Linked DNA regions of Danio rerio. The main gene of each other region encodes a partner of the protein of the gene in region 2 in a complex. Links are inferred from orthologs where the notes say so. Each region holds a gene or a part of one and is shown on either strand. Other genes may lie near its edges.

The links. Proteins that work in one complex are often made in the same cells at the same time.
Region 1: the proteins of bmpr2a (region 2) and bmp10 are in contact, whole or in part, in a crystal structure (PDB 7PPA), measured with the Homo sapiens proteins. The link is inferred for Danio rerio from reciprocal best matches to the Homo sapiens genes BMPR2 and BMP10. Residues at the interface, in NP_001195.2 of Homo sapiens: Asp38, Ser64, Tyr67, Leu69, Lys81, Cys84, Trp85, Ser86, Ile88, Gly89, Asp90, Pro91, Gln92, Glu93, Thr103, Thr104, Pro105, Pro106, Ile108, Tyr113, Phe115; in NP_055297.1 of Homo sapiens: Tyr329, Lys333, Asp338, Ser339, Trp340, Ile342, Ala343, Pro344, Pro345, Gly346, Tyr347, Glu348, Glu395, Pro396, Ile397, Ser398, Ile399, Leu400, Leu402, Val407, Tyr409, Phe411, Ala417.

Annotation. Positions count from the first base shown.
Region 1 is NC_133180.1:21,940,959-21,944,996, forward strand, and holds the start of bmp10 (bone morphogenetic protein 10), read left to right. Parts: upstream 1-1,226; 5' UTR 1,227-1,273; coding exon 1,274-1,673; intron 1,674-3,381; coding exon 3,382-4,038. UniProt on the Homo sapiens protein: Required for maintaining the proliferative activity of embryonic cardiomyocytes by preventing premature activation of the negative cell cycle regulator CDKN1C/p57KIP and maintaining the required expression levels of cardiogenic factors such as MEF2C and NKX2-5.
Region 2 is NC_133181.1:13,762,420-13,765,933, forward strand, and holds part of bmpr2a (bone morphogenetic protein receptor type-2a), read right to left. Parts: intron 3,227-3,514; coding exon 3,090-3,226; intron 2,965-3,089; coding exon 2,795-2,964; intron 838-2,794; coding exon 1-837. UniProt on the Homo sapiens protein: On ligand binding, forms a receptor complex consisting of two type II and two type I transmembrane serine/threonine kinases.

The DNA.
Region 1 (4,038 bases), on a different chromosome or scaffold from region 2:
GATAAAAAGAACTAGTTTTGTAGATCCTGTGCCTGGTCTTGATCTTGGGGGAGGTATTGTAAGTGGAAAGTACAGTGTACTGAAGCATTACTCTGGAAGTTGCCTCAATACTGTTTTGTCTGATTGGGATGTGCTACTGTATGAAGACCATCTATTGCGTACTGTCATCCTAAGCCTCCTGAGACATTTCCATTGGCCAGGGAGCTGTGTCAACCTCTCAGAGCCAGTGATAAGGGCTTCTCTCCATTTCCGAATGAGCGGTTTGTTTTTGCCACGAGCACAGAAGCTCTTCAGCAGGCACCCTTCTACAGATGATAAGATGCTCCAGAAGTCAGTGAAAATGCAAACAAAATGTTGTACGGAATTTTTGGCATGATTGGTTAGTGTTGGAGTTATAGTAATCTGTGAACAGTTTGAGTGTCCTCTTCCACAAGGAAATATTTAATTTTGTTCAAGTACTGCAAACGTATTTCATTGTAATGGATACTTTCCAGATTCTTACAGAGGCAGACAGATATTCCGATAACAGCACTATAGTGGCAATAAAAGTAGCTGCTTTCAGTCAATCCAGCAACGTCTTACACCTCATTGCAATTCAATTTCCGTCGCATCAAAGATACGGAGGCACTCTTCAGACGTTTGTCAAAAAGAAACGGTCAATGAACTTAGGTCCCAGCACTCATAGGAAGTCATAGGAAAAACAAATAAACACTAGGCCCAAAATCTGCCCTGGCTCACCCACCCAAACAAAGGAAGGGGCTTCTGCACGTATCAGAGAGATGTTTACAAAGTCCTCATTAAGGAAAAGAAAGCCGATAACGGTGCACACACACACACACACACACACACACACACACTATGAACACTAGAAATGCAGAGCTTCCTAGTTTGCAGATAAGGGACAGAGAGAGAAAGTAGAGAGCAAGAGTGAGAGAGAAAGAGAGAGAGAGGAAAAAACATTTGAAAAGAGATGGCACAGAGGGACATCTCTTTCACGTACTGAAACCACCCTCAAACTTTTCAGACATCAAAAGGTGAGAAGAAGAATAAATGCTCAGAGTTCAGGAATAGAGGCACTTTATTGCAGGCATCAGTGTGAGGCTACATATTGAACCAGAACAGCAAGGACAAGTCTACTATCTTAAGTTTTGCAGTGGAGCGTCAACTAAACTTCTGTCCAGGAAAAGTTGTGTACTGAAATTAAGTGCTTTTGATAGTGGATCTATAGATCTCACCTCCTGCACCTATAGCTAATACACATTTGTCTTGCGTCATGGCTGGTAGCAGAAATCACTTTTGGATTATATTTTCATCTGCCACGTCTGCTTTATTGGCCTTTTTCCTGCTTTTCTGGGGGCCTTTCTGTGTGCAAAGTAGCCCCATCAGCTCCCCGGAGAGGCACCGCACTGCTCCAGGGTTGGATGATGGACATGGAGGCGTTTTGGATCCTTCACTCTTGGAGCAGGACAGTGAGGCGAACATGCAGAGCTTGATGGAGACCCTGAAGGGACAGTTTCTGCAGACTTTCAATCTGACCCGTCCCAGCTCTCCTGCGCATCAAGGGGCCACTCGTGTAGAGCCACCTGAGTATATGCTGGAACTCTACAACCGATTCGCCAATGACCGAACAGCAATGCCTTCGGCAAACATCATACGCAGCTTTAAAAATGAAGGTAACTGCATATTTTCCTATTCAATGAGGGCATTATAATCATTTGTATCGTAGGAATTTGTTATTTTTTTGTAAAAGAAAAAAAGAAAAAAACAACAACTTATTTTTCGACTGTTTATGTGATAAATAATGGTTTCCAAAATAATAATAATAAATGTAACGGTAACACTTTATTTTGATAGTCCATTTGAGTATTAGTAGACTGTCTGCTTAACATTCAACAGATATTTAACTGACTATAAGAAATTTTGCAAGTACAAGTCAACTTACAGTAACCCTAGCCCCATTGTAATAATCTTATAATACTTATAATCCAATGAGATTTAGTTGCAATGTAATTAATTAAATATGCAAGTAATAATATGAAGTAATTTGTGATTACTTGAAAATTCGTGAAAAATGTAGCTGGGAAAGACAAATGTTTCTGCTGAAAGAAAAAAAAAAAAAAAAAAAATATATATATATATATATATATATATATATATATATATATATATATATATATATATATATATATATATATATATAAAGAGTCTTAAAAAGGGCGGTGTGGTGGCACAATCACCACACAGCAAAAAGGGTGCTGATTCAAGACACGGCTGGGTTAGTTGACATTTATGTGTGGAGTTTGCTGCAATAGATGTGCTATTGGTGAATTGGTTAAGCTAAATTGTCTTTATAGTGTATGTGTGTGAATGAGAGTGTATGGGTGTTACCCAGTGATGAGTTGCAGGTGGAAGGGCATCTGCTGCATAAAACAAATGCTGGATAAGCTGGCGGTTCATTCCACTGTGTCAACCACTGATTAATAAAAGGACTAAGCCAAAAAGAAAATGAATGAATGAGTCTTAAAGCATTTTTGGTTGTGCACTGTAGTAAATAATTGCACTGTGATTCATGCATGCTGAATTATGAGCAATTTATAGAGACGATAGTGGCTTTTTTGGTAATTAAAAAGAGGCTTTAAGCGCTTTGTTGTGCAGCAATTTAAATGAAATATTCTTGTGTTGTCTATTACCAACATACTCGCTATCGTTTTTGTTACCTACACCAGGGGTTCCCAAACTTTTCAGTCTGCGACCCCCAAAATAACAATGCTAGTGACTCGCGACCCCCAATATCCTCTGAGGTGGTTATAAATACAGAAACCTTGCATGCAATGACGCAGACACACCAATTAAATTTGTGTCAGTGCTTTAAATGTGCCAGAAAGTATAACCTGATGTTATAAAATCAAAATGCATCTGACGCTATTGCTGCCTTTAATATAATGTAATTACCCCAGGGGTCGCAATCCAATAGAACTAGTAACTATAAGCTACTATAGTAACTATATAGTGTATAGTAACTATAAACTACTATTTTTATTTTCAGTATAGTTATGGATAAAATATGTTAATTCTTATGGTTTTATAACCATAAATAGATTTTTGGAAATCACCAGGCGACCCCCCCCTTCATTGCCCCGCGACCCCTCGGGGGGGTCCCGACCCCCACTTTGAGAACCACTGACCTACACCATAAAGATTGTCTAAATTCACATGTACAAATTGTATACATTGATAAACATAAAACAATTTTATGTTCTACTTTTTCTTTTTACATAAATGTAAATTAGTTTTTATTTTGTAATAATTTTAGACGTTTTTCACACGCATGAAGTTGTGGCAATTAGAATTCCTAACATTTGTCTGTCTTGTTCTCTCCAGACTCCTCCTCATACAGTATGGGACCTAGTGGAGTGAGACGACACCCACTTCTCTTCAACGTATCAATCCCACACCATGAGAGAGTCACCACAGCTGAACTCCGACTGTACACTCTGGTCCAGACTGACCGCAACAAATATGCTGGTGTTGACCGAAAAGTGACCATATATGAGGTCAAACTGCTTGAAACGAACAGCAGCCAGCAAGTAAGAGGAGACGATGTTGATGGAGGAGATCAAGCGAGTAAAACGGAGCTGGTGGAGTTAGCATCTCGACAGGTTTATGGTACAGATAATGCATGGGAATCCTTTGACATGACCGCAGCCGTCCACCTTTGGCGGAAATCAGACTATGGGACCACGCACAAGCTGGAGGTCCACATAGCAAGTTTGGACTCTCAGAGTGTGGCCGAAGGTGAAAATATAAGCAATGCCATAGGGGGAGACATGGACATTGACACCAGCCCTGAGGACAAACACAAACCCTTAATGATTGTGTACTCTGATGACCAGAGCAGAGACCATCGTGGAGCAAAACGAGAGCTGAACGAGCTGATCCAGCACGAGACCAACAGGCCAGGCCTTCAAGACAACCTTGAGCTGGAGATGACGGGCCTCTGGGGTGACCTGGGACAAAAAGATGGCATTGAAGAAGATG
Region 2 (3,514 bases):
TGCTCATCGGGACTGGTGTTTAAGAGGCCGAAGGTCAAGTCCTCGTTGGCTGAACTTCCTGCTGACTCGGCTGCTGGTTCTGTTGCATATTTATTCATTGCTGCCGCCGCATCGTTGTTGGCAACTGTAATCAGCCGGGCTTCATGCGTCGCATTCACCACACTGCTTTTAGCCACACCCATCTCAACCTTCTTCAGATTTGACTTTCCAAGCTTTCCGAACTTCATCCGCAGCGATGAAGACGTCGAGGTGGATGTTTTCCCAGGCTTTACGTGGAGACTGAGGCTACTGGGTCTCTTAGGGACGTTCTGCTGCTTAGGTAAGATGGTTATAGGGGTGTCCCCATGCCTACTGGATCCTTGTGACCCCGAAACCTCAGAAACCATCTTCATGAGAGGATAAAACGGGCCGTGGGAGGCTGACGTTTCAGGAGAGCAGAACTGTTTCTGTGAATGTTCCATAAGGCTCTCGTCCGAGCTCTCTCTCATGTTCCTCTGGACTTCGCTCGGGTCGAGTTTTGGTATCTCCAGGTCTTCTCGTGTCAGCTGAGCACAGAGATTGGTGGCCACTGGTGGAGGATGCGTGGCATTGCAGGACTCTGAGACAGGAGTAGCGGAGGAGCTTTCTGTGCCAGACTGTCGTGATTGGGCCTGCTGCCACTCATAGTTGATGCAGTTCTTTTTCTTCTCTGCGGGATTAGTTCCTCCTGCTGAGGTTTGCTCCACTGAGGTGTCATTGTGGAGTGGTTTATCAGCACCTTCATGGTCTTCAGTGTTTGTGGATGAGTGTTCAAGGACAGAACCTACTTTAGGTGTCTGCCTTCCAGCAGAGAAGTTCCTACAAATGTTATATTGCATTGGTTAAATCAAATGAGGTGAAGATGTGTATAGACTTTTAATTAAAACAGATGGATTTCAATATCACGGAACCAAGAATTAAAAAAATTGATCAAAGAAATGGCAGGAAACATGTCAAATGGAAAATATCACATATACTGTCAAAAGAAAACAACAACAAACTATGTAATATCATCATAATAATAATAGTTTCTTACATTTAAATAGCACTTTTCTGGACACTTAGGGTGCTTTCACATCTGTAGTTCGCTTCATTTGGTCCGGACCAAGCGCAATAAATGATACATTGTTGCATTTTCTGCCGTCTTTGGGTCGTTTTTACACCACACTGCTGGCTTTGATCCGAACCAGTTGAAACGAACCAAAATGCAGTCATCTGACAAAATCCACATCTCTCATTGGCCAGATGTTGTTGAACATATTTCCTAAATTGCTTATTGATTGGTCACAATTCACGTGCGGGAAAATGCCAGTGAACTCCCGCAGGTAAACAAAACCTTTTACTCTGGAGGGACGACTGCGCTGGCTGATTGTATCCCTGCTTTAGACAAACTATACATTACGAAAATGAAGCGCGGCCGCGGCTTGAAAACAGTGTTTAATGCGTCGCTCGTCACTTCAGGAGGAGGCGTAAATTAATTTAGCTAAACTGCAACATGGTCATCTTGCGGAAATATTACCAACGATCCATCAGGTAATGTTTTCCCCTCTCTCTCTCTCTCTCTGTTGGTAAAGCGCTGTCAACAAATATTTTTCCTCCATATCCCATAATGCACAGCGCATCGGCCTACGGCAGCTGAATTAGTCCAAAACGTTGTTTGAAAGCGTACCGAGACCACCTCTTCAAGCAGGTCTCGGTACGCTTATTTGGTCCGCTTTTGGTGCGCACTCGAGTACGATTGCTGCATTCTCACCTGCCCAAATGAACTGTACCAAAAGGGGAAACGAACTCTAGTGCGATTCAATCGAACTAAATAAGGCAGGTGTGAAAACACTCTTAAAGCGCTTTACACATTTTTGGCGGGAATCAACCTAGATGTCACGACGCTAGCCATATTACGCCAGACCGCCCACCACACATTAGCTGATTGGTGGAGAGGAGACAGAGTGATGACGCCAAGTGATGAATGCAAGGAGAACATGCCTACTCCACACAGAAACGCCAACTGATCCAGCTGAGGTTCGAACCAGTGACCTTCTTGCTGTGAGGCGAGAGCACTACCTACTGCTGCACTGCGGCACCCAAACTTTCGTACTGCACCTTTAATTAATTACCTGTGACCAGACTATTATTGATCAGTGACTTTTGGTTGTCAATAACATGTGGTTGAACATTTATTATGGGTCATTGATTACTTGTGTTTGCACCATGAGTTGTCAGTGAGTATAGATTGACAATTACCTGTTGTTGTACAGTAAATATTAGTAATAACCTTTGTATTTAGTCAAAGTGGTCATTTATTATTGGTTATAGTTAAGTGTTGTCCAGTAATCAGTTATTACACATTGATTACCTGTAGTTGTGGAGTGATTACTACATACTGATTGCATTTCACTGTACCGTGATTGATCAATAATCAACATTTATTGATTAACTGTGATTGTAAAATGATAACTATATTTGTGGTTGCACATTGAGTGATCAGTGGTTACTAATTATGGATTACCTGCAATTGTATAGCCGGTGGTCAGCCATTACAAGTTATTAATCAACTGTGGTTATTTATTGACTGTTCAGTGATTAGTTAAAGTTATTAGTAACTAATAACTTGATGGAAACAAATAACCTTAACTATTCTGAATTTGATTGTTATGCAATAATGTAGTCCTTTTGTAAAGCTGCTTTGAAACATTAATTATTGTGAAAAGCGCTATACAATTAAACTTGAAGCTGAATTGCTGGTTATTGATTATGCTAACTTCTGGCTATTGATTACCTGTGGTTATACAGTGCAGTGCTGTGGTTAAGAGCAGGACTGGCTGATTTTTCTCTGTCCCAGATGAGGAGCAGTTCGGCGAGTCGCTCCTCCGCACACTGAGCTGTCAGTCGGGCTTCTGCGTCCTGATCCCAGCAGTCTTCCATCGTCTCTTTCAGAGAATGCACCGTCTGCACAAAAATAGACGCGCATACACACATACGTCAACATTAACAAATCTATTTTAGCCTGTGGAGTGTTGATAAGCTCAGTTTGTGTGTGTGTGTGCATGTGTGTTCACATCCTCATTTCTCACCAGGCTATTCTCTTTCCAGGCTTCTGGGAATTTGGGTCTTTCTTTTTCTCTGGACACAAGCGCCTGCATGTCCTCTATGGTAGGATGATTGCCCACCTCTGCCTGGAATGCCAACTGAAAAGCTGGCACTGTTTCACCTGGTGGAAGAGGATTCTTATTTGGTTTTAAATAGCAGAGTCACAAGCAATGTAAAAAAAAAAAACAAGATAATAAATCTTTGCAAAGAGAAAACAAAATTAGCATCTTTATATTCATTCATTCGTTTTCTTTTCAGCTTAGTCCCTTTATTAACCAGGGTCACCACAGCGGAATGAACCGCCAACTTATGCAGTACATGTTTTACGCAGCAGATGCCCTTCCAGCTGCAACCTATTTTTGAGAAACTTCCAGACACACTTATTCACACTCATACACTACGGACAATT